Caenorhabditis elegans: one gene and its partner. The protein of the gene in region 2 interacts with the protein of the main gene of each other region in a pairwise test. Each region holds a gene or a part of one and is shown on either strand. Other genes may lie near its edges.

Region 1 (7,237 bases), on a different chromosome or scaffold from region 2:
ATTCTAGATATCTGTAAAAACTATAAGCTGATTGGTAAACAAACGAACACTAATTCGATTATTGTGTTCTAGTTACTGAACCGTAACTAGGTAGCAATGATTCCCATATACATTCACTGAAACTGTAAAATTTTTTAAAAACCTTTTTAGTTGTGAGAACGATTCGCCATTTCTAGATATAACGTGTTCTCTCTTAAAACTCTTAAAACCAAATTATTTAAAACATTATCTAAATACAATTTTTCAGGTGTGCGTCACTCTTCCAATGGTGTACAACTATGTCCACCATGTGAAGAGAACCATGCACTCCGAGATCAATTTCTGCAAGGGATCCGCCAAGGATATCTGGTCCGAGGTCAACCACCTTAAGGCCATCCCATCTGGAAACCGTACCGCCCGTCAAGCTGGATATGATGCTGGAGTCACCGGAGGATCTGCCTCTGCTGGAGGTTGCGACGCTTGCTGCCTTCCAGGAGCCGCTGGACCAGCTGGAACCCCAGGAAAGCCAGGACGCCCAGGAAAGCCAGGAGCACCAGGACTTCCAGGAAACCCAGGACGCCCACCACAGCAACCATGTGAGCCAATTACCCCACCACCATGCAAGCCATGCCCAGCCGGACCAGCTGGAGCCCCAGGACCAGCAGGACCAGCCGGAGATGCCGGAGCCAACGGAAACCCAGGAGCCCCAGGAAACGACGGACAACCAGGAGCCCCAGGAAACAAGGGACCATCTGGACCAAACGGAAACCCAGGAGCCCCAGGAGCCCCAGGACAGCCAGGACAAGACGCTCCATCCGAGCCAATTACACCAGGAGCACCAGGACCAGCTGGACCAGCCGGACCACAAGGACCACCAGGAGCCCCAGGACAGCCAGGACACGATGGACAACCAGGAGCCCCAGGACCAAAGGGACCAAATGGAAACCCAGGAGCCCCAGGAGCCGACGGAAACCCAGGAGCCCCAGGACAAGCTGGAACTTCCGGAGGTGCCGGAGAGAAGGGAATCTGTCCAAAGTACTGCGCCATCGACGGAGGAGTCTTCTTCGAGGACGGAACTCGCCGTTAAATTTTATGAGAAATTCAACAATAAAATATTCTCTATTCATCAATTTAATGTGTTTTTTTGTTCAACTTCAGAGAAAATAACTAATTCAGAACAAGAAAATTTCGTCACTAGTAATTACGCAGCAAGAATAACGATTCCATAGATACACAATTATTCTGTACAAAATATTTATTAGTTTTAGTATAAAGAAACAATATTCTTAAAAATGCTCCTAGTTCGAAATTTGGAATGGTTTATCGAATTATTACAATGACCTGAAAAGCCTAGAATTTATGCTATCAGTAATGCTGATTTTTCAGAAGAACTGATGAGCTTAATAGACACAAATGCCTTTTGAAAATAGAAAGAGAACTGTGTTTCATGGGTTACCAAACTTAGTAAATTTTCTTCTCGATGCTGTTTGATCTATCTTGACCCAAAAACTTTAGTAAGACAGAAATTATTTTAACAAAAATATCAGTTGTGTGCTTTGCTTTTTTACATCGTGCTCTCATGTACTGACAGACAATGAGACGTGTTCTTATAACGTTTTGTTCACAGTTTTCAATGCTTACTTTAACTTTTCTGAATACACACCGCACAGAAAACTAATGATTTAAAATGGCCTACATGAAGAGTTCCAAAACAGAAAATAAAAATTGAAAAGTCATGTTTTTTCATGCCAAAATAGTCATTTGGTTATTTTTACCATCGATTTCTTTTTTGTAATTAATATCCGTATTTAATGTCACTAATATTTCACCGAGCTCTCCCATTATTTGGCCCATACACTATGTCAATGGTCACCGCGAAAGTGAAATGCGCCACCGCAAACGAATGTGCGTCAGCAGAAAATCAATAACGCGGGTGCCGTGTTGGTCGACGTGTCTCTCGAAAGGAACTAATTCGAACCAGTTTTTTGTAGAATTTCGTGTTAAAACTTCATTTTTGATTCTTCAGGAATTAAATTGCACGTAGATTTGTAACTGTTTTAAGTCGTTTCATATATTCTTCCTTATGTTTCAAATTTAGTTATATAACCTATATTTAAATTGCTGTATTAATTCACAGTGCTAGCCAAAGAAGCAACCTTTTTTGGTTTTTGATATTGTTGAGAATGATTAAAATGAATTCCGAAACTATTTCCGAAACTAATTCAGAAGCTAATTCAGAAGCAAATTATTTTTACTTTTGTATACTTGTTCAAATAAGTTAATTATATTCACTAGTACCAAAAAAAGCGGAATTTCTAGAGTATATTATTATTATAGTTAAAAAATGAAACAGTAAATGAAAATTATTTTACTTCAGCAACCTTTAAATACAAAAATAAATATTTTGTTAGTTATACTTCTGATAACTAGGTTACGAGTTATACTTTTGAATAATTTGCAACATTATCAAAAAACTGAAAGTGAATATATTTTTGGCATGCTCCTTATACCTAATCAGTTTATTAACTTTAAAAAACGATTTTTCATCCATTATAAGACTTCTCAAGTAGTGTCGGAAGATTAAAAAATTTTAGAAAAAAAAGGATGTGTTCGGAAAACTTTTTGAAAAAAAAACGTGAGACGCATATTATTGCGTGAGATTAAAATGTGAGCTTTCCACGTGGGTTCAGCGCCTCTCCGTTACGTGGAACGGGGTTTCTCTGTTTCTCTCTCCAATCTCTCGCAGAAAATTTATTCTGGATTTACAAATTATTTAAAAAGTTTTTGAATAATTTTACGTCATCCCTTTTTTTAAACTATAATTTTCAAATTTCTTTTCTTCTCATTGTTTCTTCACGTCCTTGAAGTATACTGTCACTTTTTAAATACGTTAAATACAAATATAATACTTTTCAGAAATGGAGGACAAAACCTCCAAAGAAAAAGAAAAATCGGCCGACAAACGGATCGATGAACGGGTTCATCAACAACTGGTGTATAAGGATAACCGAATTATAGATTTAAATAATGTGATATTGGATAAAGAAAGGCAAATTTTGGACTTACAGGTGAGAATTATTCTGTTTCTGTGGTTTCATATTGGAGTTGTATTTAGGAAAGAGTTCGTGAGCACAATGAAGTTGCTTCAGTCAAAAATCAAGCAATGAGAATTGTTCAACAAAAATTTGAAGAAATGAATAGAGACAAGAAGGATATGTCGACAGAAACTGAGCCTTCTTTGATGGCTCATTCCTCAGTACCATTATCAAATTCAAAGAGTGAACGGAGAGCAAGAAGTTCATCTCCAGGTCATGTCATTGCACAGAGAAGTGAGTAAAGTTTTTTGGTTAAAAAAAAATGAAGTTGTCATGCACCATTTCTGAATATATATGACGTTCAGTTTTATTTTTAGAATTTTTTTATTATTCCCAAACAGGAAAATTGCTGATCTTAGACGTGTTAGGACAACTGTAACCTACAGTAATCTAAAGGTAGCTTGCCCAAGTAATTTGTATGCTCCTCTTTTTCTTGAAAATAAGCTCGAAAATTGAGCACACGGCTAGAAATTGAAAATTGTGACGATATAAAACTTTTTTTTAAAGTTTAACGGAATTGAATTGATCTATTTTTCAGAAACGATGGTCTCAAGTTCATCGGGAACCTTCTCTCCTCCACCATTGGATCCTCCATTTGATCCATCTAGCAAACTGAGCGCTCTTCCAGATATTGACGGAATCCATAGGAAACATCAAAGAAAACGTGTAACTTTTGATTTAAATCCAAATGGTTCTTCAATTGGAACATCAACATCTTCCAATTTTCCATCTACATCTGTTTCCCGCTATCCCACCATTTCAATGTCTTCTTCAACTTCAGACGCTCTCGAGTCTGCTTTAACAGAAGCTTCATCTGAAAATGCTTTACTCCGTCAGCAAGTTATCGAACTAAACTCATCTGTTGAAAAAATGAAAGCAGACTATGAATCTGAAATTCTCAAATACACAAAAGAGGCAAAAACTGCTGGACTCAAGGCAAAGGTTGCGGCGACTGCAAGAATCAAGGAGTTGGAAACTACACTTGAAGATATCAATGGAAAATATGAAGATGAGGTAAGTGAAATAGATGAATATATCATTTTGTATAGAAACGTTTCCAATTTTCAGAGGGATCGTCTTCAAGAAGAAGTTGACACTCTCCGATCTTCTCGAAATTGGGAAATAGAACAAAATGCTCTTCTTCGTGATCAAGTTGCTCATTTGAAAGAAAAAGTTCACAAGTTGACAACAGAGTTAGATGCTAGTGAAGTAGCCAAACGATCCTTGAGCTCAGAAGTTGACGAATCTAAAAAGCTGATGGAATTGATGGTTGAAGATCTCCTTCAAGCTGAATCCGCTATCAACTACAATCAATGTCAGAAAAAAGCTATTTTTGAGGACATTGACCGATTGAAGGATGCCATTCAAGCACAGGATAGATTTATTGAAGTTCTTGAAGCTGATATTGTCATCTATGAGCAACATATTGGACTTTTGAGAGAGAATTTGGGTGCTTCACAGGTAAGATTTTTATTTCCTGTTGAAGCTCATTTTTTCCATAAGAAAATCTTTAACATCTCGAAATTTCTAGTCTAGAGAAAAGTCAATTGAAATATCTATAAAAAAGAAAAAGTATTATATTTATTAACGGAAAAATTCTGGAAATATACGTTTCAAAGTTATGTAATTAATCACACTGAAACCCGTAGTTTAATTGACCAAAATCAAACAGAAAAAGAAACTGAAAAATATTTCAAATAATTTACAGGTCGATCATCGAGCACTGATAAAATCAAAAGCTTTCGAGACGAAACTATTGGCTTTGGAACGCGAAAAAGAGCAAAGTGACAAGAAATCAAATGGTGAGACGATAGGAGACTTTTTTGTAAAGAAAAATGGGATAAGTATCATTTAAAACTTCTGATCAAGTATCAGAATAATCGGAAATATTTACTTATGAAAATTACTTAAACGTAACAAACCCCTTTTGAAACCCTGGCGAAATCAAAAATTCAAAAAATTAATCCACAATTGGTGCAGTTGATAGTGTGGTGGAAACTGTAGAATCTGTGGATGATGCTGTCATTGCCGGATTACGATATGCAGCAAAACTAGCTGGAAGAGCCGTTTTTGTAGATTCGTACAAACGGAAGTTGTAGCCCAATCCGGGAGTTCTTGGTAAAATAGCACGGGTTTCAGTACGTTTAACCACCTGCAACATTTGATTTATTAAAAACGAGATAAGACATTAGCTATTGCAGAACACCAATACATTTCTTTAGAAATTATAACTAAAGCTCTCATTTTCATAAGAACTAAGCCTTCTAATTTTATTTTGAAAGAAAAAACTCACATCACATTGACATTGTGTGCAATAGTATGTTTTCCGTTTCATGCAGCAGTAGATTCCACACGGAAAGCAAAAAATTGCGTATAAAATTGCTCGCCAACTGAAACGGCTTTTCACTTTTTTCTGAGTGCAAGCCGGACATGACAGATTAGAAGATGTAGTGGATGACATGATGGTTTTGAAGTTTTACATCTGAAATTTAAGCTTTAAAAACTTTTTAAAAAGTGTTTGAAGAAGGTGTGCAGCAGTTTCATATCTGGAAGCTCATACGTGCTTCTCCGTTTATGAGAATAAATTATGCCTAAACTCACTTGCCACATCGAATCGTGTTCCAATAATGCAAAAAAAAATTAATGTGGGACGCAGCGTGTCAATAATCGATGGGAGAGAAAGGACAAAGTATCCGCTCGACTGCCACCTCACTGTTTTCGCCTAAAGTATCACAATCAACTAAAGATAGACATAGAGAGAAACGGCACGCAGATATACAGACAGACAGGCAGACATATAGAGAAATTAGAGAAACATTGTTTTGTGTTGACAATACAAGAGGTCTGATGATAAATTGGTCAGTGAAACAGAGAGGAACACGCCACCGCAAAACCATGACTAGTTTCTAGGAAAACGCATGTTTCTCAGAACTTATTGCCATTCGAATGCGTTTTCATGAAAAGGTTGTTTAGAAAAAACATAGAAAAAAGATGAATCGTTCAAATTCCAAAATTATATAAATGAGAATGTACTACTAAAAGGAAATTCGAACTTTAAAAAAATTAGGAAACGAGTGTTTAGGAGCCTACCACATCAACATCAAAATATCTGCTTGATGTGAGTATAAAACTGCTTTAAAAAAATGTTTTCTGCAGTTTTCTATTGTCCTCGTGAAATTTTTCAAATGTATAGAATTCAATTTATATAACAACTAGGTTTTTATAACATGACTAATCACTTGTCACCACATTCCAGTCGTACAAAAATTGGGGCAAAATCATTGTGTCAAATTGATTAGAAAAGTGTTAAAAGACATACAGTAAAATTAATTTAAAAGTATTAGTAGAGAAAATGAGAGAAAATCAATGTGTATTTCGATTTAAAATTAAAATGAAAGTCGAGGGGTCTTTATGTGATCACCACCAATTGTCAACATACACTGGGAGACGGAAAATGAAGAGAAAGAGAGTCAGCTGCTTTTGATCAGCAAAATTTTGTGTTCATCGTTGTGTTGACCTTATAAACATAGAAAGAATATACCGAATAATATTATGCCAGTGGGAAAATAAATTTTGGTTTTCGAAATGTTTTTCAAGCTGAAATTTGTTTCATTTTTTTTTCAAATAATCAAATGATAGTTGGTTTAATTTAATACCAGCAACGCCAGATTTGGGATTTTATATAAATGCGAGTTTTTTTTCAGAAGACCGTCTGAAAACAAAGGCACTAGACAAGAAATGTCGTGTTCTCGTCGAGCAAAACGAACAACTCATGGCTCGTCTTTGTGAGCTTGAAATGTCGCACGGAGGAGCTGATGAGACACGTGAACGCCGTTTAGCTGAACAAGAAGAACGAATTCGACAGATTTCATCAGCTTTGGAATCAGAACGAGATGTTGGCCAACGACTGCGTGAAGCCAAGGAAGTACTTGAAAAGGAGCTAATGAACAAGAAGAAGACGGAAGAAGCTAGTAACAATCGTTTCCAGAGAGACGTTGAAATGAGTAGAATGGAAGCACAGAATAGTAAGTCTTTCTTGTATCATTTGTTAATGATATACCGTAATTTCTCTTAAATCAAAAACATTTCAAACCAAGATTTCAGTTTGTCCTAGTTTTTTGTTTGTCTTGCTCACATTTCCCGTGAATCTTTATAGTCAGTTT
Region 2 (8,947 bases):
TACTATGCTTTTGATTTTATTTTCTAATTTTGATAATTTTCACTAAAGAAAGGTAGACAATCTAAATTTGGTCGGCTATGACAACTTTCAGTTGACTAGTCTTTTGGATTATTTGAACGGATTGTTTTCAATCGATCATGTCGATTTGGCAATTGACCATGATCAACTTTTTGGGGAGTTCAAATCTGCTTTGAGCCACCCTTTGTTTCGGAAATGCCATTTTCTAAAACTTCTCGGACATTCGTACTTTGGCACTGAAGATATGGAATTTATATTGAAGAATTTCGATTCGAAATATGGATTCCTGACTTATTGTTTACACAAGGACAAGATTGATAGAAAGCTGGTAAGTTGAAAATATCTTTGCTGAATTATGAGCATATTCACATTTAAGTGGGCCAATATTCCACGATTGGACATCGAAAAAGGCCCAGGATTAACACTAGACGATTTGAAAATGATGGATTGCGAGAAAATGAGATTTTATGATCTCAATACAGTCTCGGCAACAAAACGGAATAAGTAAATTCATTACTGGCTGGCCGGGAATTCGCCGAAACTGAGAAGACTTCAATTGAACTACTGGTGGCATAATTGGACGGGCGAATTATTGAAAGGTTTATCATATTCCAAATGGAATCCAAAACGTAGAGCAAGAATCTTCTGGTATGTTTAATTAAGGTCTTTTCCAAATAATAACTTTCTGGAATTTTCAAGTCATAAAAATGGAGGGAATCATTCTGATATGCATTATTCTTGCTTAAAATCTAGGGGAAAACAGGGAAAAAATAAAAAGAAAAACTACACTTTAAAACCACATAAGCTAAGTCGAAACTTAAGCTTTCTAAGCCGACACCTGATTTCAATTTTAATGCTTAGCCTAACCTGAACCTAAGCCCAAGCCTTACACTTAACCGGAACATATGTCTAAACTTAAGCCTGCCAGTTGAAAATTCAGTTTTTTTTAAATTGTCGTTTCAGTGATGATCTTGAATTTGTGGATTGCACATATGGACTCGATATTGAGAGAAGTGATGGTCTACTCGAAACTATTCTAATCGAAAACTTTGCTATGTACTTTCTCGTATGGCATGACAGATTTCCACAGGATCCCCGAACATTGTTTCACTTCTCGAAATCTGTTTCAATTCCAATTACAACTTATTAAAAGCATTCGTTTTTCTATGTTCGAAAGTTTTGAGATATAATGCACTTTTTTATTAGACATTCAAAAACTGAACTAAATAAATTCTGATAAAAGTTTTCTTTGTTACTTGAACTGAGTATTTGTCTTAATGTAAAAGTACTGTTAAGTCATCCATGTGAGAAAGGTTCATTCCCGAGAAAAAATGTCGGCGACAAAATATCAAGAAAAAGATGTTATCAAGAAAAGGAACTGTGTTTTAAAAGTTTTAAATATACCCGAGAGATGGGTATATGAATCAAGTACTACAGAAAAACATGATAAAAGAGCATTGTCAAAAAAGTGATGCGAAATGGGGAGTTTTAACAGGAAAGGAATGGAAATTAGCCCAGAGGATGTGAGCAACACGAAATGTGCTCTACGCAAAGTTTCAGTTTTTGGAAAGGTTGAAATGTTTGAAAGAGATTTTGTTAAGTTCATGAAAGAGATAACAAGTTTTCAAAGGAGACAATGAAATGTTGACAAAATTGAGTGAATGAGAAAAAAACGTACAGAAAACACAAAAAATTGTTGAAAACAAAATCATCTTATTTCGTATTTGTCAGCGCTTCTGTTCGTATCATAAGATCGTTCCAAGCTTCCCGACACGTAGTATGACGCAAATTGTATGAAGTTGGCTTGTAATTCTTCTTCCTCATCAACTGTCGGAAGTTCTTCCCCTCTACGTGGAGGCGTCAGTTGGACCGGCATTGATGTGAACTCCTGAGTATATGTTAATATCATTTTTGAATCATTGGTTCTCTTATTTCTAGAAACTATGAAAACTGTTATGAAAATTGGAAAATCCTAGTCATTAAACAAAGTGTTGTTTGTGTTTCAGTATCAGTAAAAAAACTAAATGAAATCTTATGTACGTTGGCATACATTTTTTTAAAACTGTACTAAAAATAACAACACTTTGCCCTAATTGTAAATCGTTTACTCTAAAAATTACTCATATTGCTTCTGAAACTTTCAAAAGAATTGAAACGTAACGTACTCTGTCAAAGAAACTCGTGTCCGTTTCAGACATCACATTTGGCTTAAATGGAGGTTCGACTTCTTTTCTTAATGTTGCTTCCCAATCCACATCTTTGAAAAATTCAGCTCTCGAAACTTCACGTGCATCATCAGGACCGGCACCAAGCCGCTTAGCTGGGACCCTTTCGAGTAGTCCAGATAGTAATGTTACGGCTTCTGGGCTTAACCTATTCGGGAACTTCAAATCACATGTCGTAATTAGTTCGAAGAGTTTGCCGTTCTCCTTTGCTGAAAATGGAAGCCGTCCACACATCATTTCGTACATGACCACTCCGACTCCCCACCAGTCAACACTACGGTCATAGTCGATGTCTTCGATAACCTGAAACAATAGACTAATAACTTGACGCGAGAATTGAAAGGCTTTACCTCTGGTGCAAGGTATTCTGGTGTTCCGCAAAAGGTGCTTGTTTTATCTCCATATTTGATTTCCTCTTTGCACAACCCAAAGTCAGTGATTTTGATGTGACCATCTCTGTCGAGAAGCAAATTTTCGAGCTGAAAAAACAATGGAAAAAACAATGAAAAAACATCAAAGTTGTGAAATTCAAAAATTTCTGACAAATACTTCAAGTTGTGATAACCCCTCTCAAAAAGCTTCTACTTACTTTCATATCACGATACACAATATTTCTGTGATGAAGGTATCCAAGAGCAAGTATGATTTCCGATCCATAAAATCTTGTTCGTGCTTCGCTGAATGTTTTGCACCTCTGAAGATGGGTGAACAGCTCGCCACCATTTGCAAACTCCATCACAAAACAGATGTGATATTGTGCTTGGAAACTGTATTTAAGTAGCTGAAAAAATATATTTGTGGCACTGTGTCAACAACTGGGGAATTCAAATATTTTAAATAATTGTAAGTAAGATATATTTGTAAAGTTATGGCAATCGATAAATTTATAGGAAATATGTATTTCAGAGTTTCTTAGAGAAAAAAAATATGGTTCCACGGAAACGCCCGCCCTACTTCGGCACGCCCATGCGCCAGCATTATCACACTCTGTGTACTGCTGCCGACGCCGCGCAGGACCTCGCGCCACTATAGCTACGTGCAACAGAGAAAGGCGATGTTGTGAGGGCGGCGGGAGTGTGGGGCGTATTGTGGTGCTGGCGGGCGAGAGTAGCGCCATCGTTGAAATCCTAGTGTGCATTTATCCGTCTCTCTAAACATGATTTTTTCACGAAAAAAATCATCTACTTCAATTTTCACTGACATCTGCCAACATTGTACACCGACTCAATATTTTTTCGACCAATAAGCATACCGTGAGAAAAGGGTGAACGCAAGCATACAGAACTCGATTTTCAGTCAAAGTGTGGGCCACCTCAGAACGATCAACGACCATTTCTTTTCTGATAATCTTAATGGCGTAGAGCTTATCAGAACTTTTCTCCCTGCACAAAATAACTTTTCCGAAGGTTCCTTGACCGAGAACTTTGAGGAAGTCAAAATCGTCCATCGTCTGCAAAATTAAATAACTACATACATTTAAGAAATAATAGAGATACAAAGCAAAACTTGAATTTTTAGCGGAAAATCAGAAAAAAAAGTTTCGCTCAACCTGTCAACCAAAAAAAACTTGTTGCGCCTTTCGAGTTAATCATTTTTACTCAAAAAACTTTCTTTAAAAACCTCTTATTTCCACATATCAATACGTGGATTTGTTGGCAGGATTTTGAAACTTACCACTGTATTTTTTCTTGGAACTTCCTCTGGTTCGTCGATATTCATTACAGTTGACTCAAAATCATTATCCGAACGGGTGCTTGTTGCGTCCATGTTCACATCACTTTCTCCAGACGGATTCTAAAAAATTTCATGAAAATTTTGAATCTCTTTACTTTCATACTCCATTAGTATCTTCCTCCTGCATGCTGGTATTTCCTGCATTTTCTTTCAAACGATTGTGACTGGATACAGCTTGAATTGCTTCAATCCACATCTGACGGAAGTCGGCGCTATCCGCATAAAATGTGCGTTCAATGACAGTGGTCCATTGGAGACATCGCACGATAAACATATTTGGTCGAGGTTTGTCAAGGCAAACCGTCTGAAATAAAGCATTTTGGTAGTTGCGGTTTTCAATATGGAAACTGCCTACTGGCAATTACTTAAAAACTTATTTGAAGTTCAGCTAAGGTTTTCAAATTTTTACTAAAGAGGGATTTCTACATATGTATATTACTGGGGTACTAACTTTCTGCTTAAAGGTGGAGTAGAGCCAGGGAAGATTTTGTTCAAACACATTTTTAATAATCCAAAATGTCCGAATATCATAATGAAGCATTCCAATAAATTTTAGATTTTTCATAATTTCCGGTCAAAGTTTTGGCAAATTGCCAAAGTTTTGAAAAGTATGAGTTTTTGAAGAAATCGAAAGCAATGTCGAATGTTCCGACCAGGGGTGTGCGGCAAATTTCGAAATTTGCCGCACACGTCAAAAATTTGACAGTACAATTTTGACTAAAACTGTTGATTTTTTCGCCAAAAATTTAGTAAAATGACAACAAATTGAGTTATTTTGATGTTTAAGCAGACACACTACATCTAACTTGTTCAGAAACCAGAGGTGTGTTAAGAATTCAGTAGTTTCGGTGCTCCAAAAAATATCAAAAAATATATAATTTTTCCGATTTTGTTAAGCACGGCAAATTTGCCGAATTGGCCGTGCTCGGCAAATAATGGAAAAATAGATTTGCCGAATTTGCCGAGCTCGGTAAATTTTGAGATTTGCCGCACACCCCTGGTTCCGACCCTTACAATGTTTCAATGGATATAATTAAAACAGATATACAGTATAAAAAATGTTGGAAAAAATTCTTTTTGTCGACTTCCAAAATAATGGGTGGCAAAAACTTAGTAAATTGTCTGGCGCTACTCCACCTTTAAAAGCAACGATTTTGAAAACTTTCTAGTAACCATCTACAGGTTCAAAAACTTACCGCTGCGTCTCTAATCATAAAATTATTCAGTGGCTCTGGTAACGGCTGATCTTCCTTTGGCTTTGACCGGAATCCAAGCAACGTTCCATCTCGAAACAAGATGAAGTACCTAAAATACTGACATCTTAGGATTTAATTTTCATTTATTTCCAAATTAGTTTTGGTTTCCTGTTGGAAGATTTTCATTTCCAATTCAGTGCAATTAAAGTGAAAACTTTTTGAATATCTTTTCATAAGGGACAGTAGCTATGAAACTTAAAACTACTGTACTAGATTGGATACATAGGCCTGGTAAAACAATGAAAAACTTACCTGGGGCGCCAATTACGAATGTGCTCTCCTTTCTTGTGAAGCCAACTTTCAATAACAATGTCTTCTTTTTGTAGATGGGCGTTTTCAGTAGACATTTTTACGCTGTAAATAGTGATAATTCTTTCAGAGATTTTGTTTTAAAAAAGAAAAATACGTCGTTAAAAAAATACAATTAAAAGGTAGTTTTAAATTATGGTATTTATGTACTATACCTGCCCCAAAAATGGAAAACCACGTGTCCCACTACGGTGTGATCTACAAAAAATGCGGGACTTTTTAGCCACAAAAATGTGACGTCAGCACGTTCTTAACCATGCAAAATTAGTTGAGAGCTCTGCGTCTCTTCTCCCGCATTTTTTGTAGATCTACGTAGATCAAGCCGAAATTAGACATTCTGACACCACGTGGAAACCCTATTGGCAAAAATTTTTAGGGCAGATATACTACACGAGCACTTAAATATTACAACTTTTCCATTACATCTTAAAAATTTACAAACATAGTTTGAACTTCATGGTTATGAAACATTTATAACAATTTAGTTTTAATTGATCATATTTTCAATAAGGCTTTGAAGTTTAATTTTTTTAATTCAACACTAATTAGGTTCTACGACAATTTTTCCTCCAAAAAAAAATCTAACGAACTAAGAATTCATAGCTTTGATAAAACACGAAAAAAAAAAGAAGAAAATAGTCGTTGGCTACGAAAGACTATGGGAAAAACAAACACCCCTAGTGACGTATTGTGGCAAACAGAGGAAAAGGACAGAAGGAAAAGATTGCAGACAAAACTTGAGCGGAGAAGCAGAGAAACGCCGGCAAGAGAGATGAGAGAGAAATAGAGATAGCAGCGAAGAGAGGGGATGTGACCTTTTTTGCTGCGGCAGGAAAAAGGACGAAAACAACTTCAGACACTATTTCTCCCCCCGTCAACAGCATCACGAGAAAGGTTGCGTTTGAATATTGATTTTTTTGGAAAGCGAGATTTGTTTTCAAAAAAAAAAAGAAGAAAATTCTGGAATAATGAAATATGAGAAACATGTGCGTGAAACTAAACATTTTCAAATAACGAGGGAATGTGAATTCTGGTGGATCAAGTATAAAGCAAAATTATTTTATGTACGCAATACGTTGCTCACAATTTAATAACATTTAGTAACTTGTTTTCTCTTCAAAACAAATTATTATTCGAATTTAACTTGGGGAAAATTATATAAACCACCTTAAACAAAGATTCAAGTGACTGTATTATTGTTTTGTAATATCATAAATGCGTTATAATGAAATTTCCACTGACACGTGGTGTCAAATTGTCTCAGTTCTGTTTGATCTACGTAGATCTACAAAATTCGCGGGAATTTAGACGCAGACATTTCAACTGAATGCGCATGGCTAAGAGTGTGCTGACGTCATATTTTTTGGGGGAAAAAATTCCCGCATGTTTTGTAGATCAGACCGTGATGGGACTGCCTGCCACCACGTGCACAAGAGCTACTCCACCTTTGCTGCAAATCTCTATTCTTTTGGTTAACTGAACAAAAAGTTTAAGCAGAAAGAGGCGTATTTCACTGGAAGTAGAAGTGTGATGTTATATACAATTTTAGTTATTTAAAGCGGAATAATTTAACGAGGTATTCCTGTGAATTTTGACTGTAGGCGTTCGTCTACTTATTTCCGCCGTTCCGTGCAATTTTAGTAAAAATCTATAATTTTGAAATCTCTAAAATAAAAATGAATTTCAAAAATGTATAATATTTCCTAACGTCTAGTGGAACTACATAGGTAACTTTTTGTCTGGAGTAAAATGGGCATGGTGTTGAAACAGTGAAATATGTGATTTCCTTGTGATATTTGTTGTATGACAACCGTCTTACTTTGAAAAAACCAACGAAGCAAAAAAAGCATGCGGTCGGAAGAAAGTGGTAAACAACTTGCCAAGTGAAAAATGCATCCAAAACCACAAGATGATAAGACAACCGACAAACAAAAAACACAACATAAACTGTAAAATGCCGGTTTTTTAAGTGTCGCAAGACATTAAATAACAAATTTTTGAAGTTTCGCAACTCTCTTTTTCTATATTGTTTACCAGATGTGCAGTTTTTTTTCTTTTATAATAATATGAACTACTAAAAACAAAGAATATACATTTTAGAGATTCCGAAAAAACGACAAAAAAAACCGAAAACGTGGGATTTGATCTCTGAAAATCCACAAACAAGCATGTCAACAACGTCTATTATTCAGTTGTTTTTTGGTGTGTAGTCCTTTATATAGAACAAGGACACCACAAAAACAGAAACGTGCAAAATATAAAAAAAAAGACATATTAATTACTCGTTCTTCTCGCAGTGGACAGATATGAATTTTTATTCGAATATACTGCTATTTTGTATATTTTGTCTGCATTGTTGTTATTAGGCCTGTGGAGTGGGTCGCCCCATTTTTTTTGGGTCGGCCGGGTTGGGGTCGCGTCCCCGACCCATTTTTTGGGTCGGGGTTGCGGCCCCGACCCACTTTTTGGGTCGGGGTCATGTCCCCGACCCATTTTTTTCAAAATTTAACAGAAAGTTATCAAAAACTTGAAAAACTATTTTTTGTCAAAAAACACGTGTAAAAGCTGAAAATTATAAAATTATCGTATTTTCATCAATTAAAAAAACATATCCTATTTTCGATACAAACAAGCATAAGAGTCAACGTTTAAACACGATTTACAACAAAACAAACTTTTTTTTTCAATTTCAGACATTTTCCGAAAATGGGTCGGGGACGCGACCCCGACCCAAAATTGGGTCGCGGGTCGACCCATCTCGACCCATTCAACAGGCCTAGTTGTTATTAGCTTACAGTTTCAATCGGTAGGCACTCAATTTTTGGTATATTTGGAAGCCGATTATCCGAAAATGCACGTAAAAACACGGAATAAACAATTTAAATTAAATAGAAAGTATCAATTAAAAATATTAACAGCGCATTTCAAAAATATTAAAAGTTATTAAAAAATACAACTGAAATGGAATAAAATAACTTGAAAGCAAGACTGATAAAAGTTCACATTTTAGTAAGACAAATAGATAAGGACTGGAAATGTATGTCTCAATTGATATTATTGAGTGCAGGTCCAATAGAGAAATAAATGTAGCATAAGTATTAAAGCAACATCGTTTTGAAAATACTGTAGCTTTGAAATCTCAAACAGGTCGGCAAACCGGAAACATAAAATAAGGAAAATTTAAACAGTTCTCTACAGAGCATGCTTGAGTTCTCGTAAATACTTAACGTGTTTTTGACATGGTGAATATGGGAAATTGATGATTGGAAAGGATCTGTCAACATTTTTTAAAAAATCCTATTTTTCCAAGCAAATATAATAATATGGGTTAATTACAAGTCGTGAAAGGTTAATTAATTCAGATATTATACGATTGTTTTTTTAGATTTGTTAGGTCTGCAAAGA

The links. Proteins that work in one complex are often made in the same cells at the same time.
Region 1: the proteins of akt-2 (region 2) and T28C6.7 interact in a two-hybrid assay, tested with the Caenorhabditis elegans proteins (one large-scale study listed by BioGRID).

What each region holds. Positions count from the first base shown.
Region 1 is NC_003282.8:8,824,907-8,832,143, forward strand, and holds the start of T28C6.7 (Kinesin motor domain-containing protein), read left to right. Parts: upstream 1-2,897; coding exon 2,898-3,047; intron 3,048-3,094; coding exon 3,095-3,308; intron 3,309-3,612; coding exon 3,613-4,088; intron 4,089-4,142; coding exon 4,143-4,535; intron 4,536-4,642; exon of another isoform or gene 4,643-4,782; coding exon 4,783-4,876; exon of another isoform or gene 4,877-5,034; coding exon of another isoform or gene 5,035-5,226; intron 5,227-5,367; coding exon of another isoform or gene 5,368-5,535; exon of another isoform or gene 5,536-5,556; intron 5,557-5,675; exon of another isoform or gene 5,676-5,821; intron 5,822-6,778; coding exon 6,779-7,099; intron 7,100-7,237. Other genes in the region: col-3 (Nematode cuticle collagen N-terminal domain-containing protein), read left to right, coding at 248-1,066; T28C6.8 (Membrane protein BRI3), read right to left, coding at 5,035-5,226, 5,368-5,535.
Region 2 is NC_003284.9:14,144,340-14,153,286, reverse strand, and holds akt-2 (Serine/threonine-protein kinase akt-2), read right to left. Parts: upstream 5,588-8,947; 5' UTR 5,581-5,587; coding exon 5,486-5,580; intron 5,283-5,485; coding exon 5,174-5,282; intron 4,282-5,173; coding exon 4,081-4,281; intron 4,038-4,080; coding exon 3,918-4,037; intron 3,694-3,917; coding exon 3,496-3,693; intron 3,025-3,495; coding exon 2,833-3,024; intron 2,723-2,832; coding exon 2,594-2,722; intron 2,547-2,593; coding exon 2,184-2,546; coding exon of another isoform or gene 2,139-2,183; exon of another isoform or gene 1,907-2,138; coding exon 1,727-1,906; 3' UTR 1,319-1,726; downstream 1-1,318. UniProt on the Caenorhabditis elegans protein: Acts downstream of PI3 kinase age-1 and kinase pdk-1 in the daf-2/insulin receptor-like transduction pathway. Essential role in regulating developmental arrest at the dauer stage.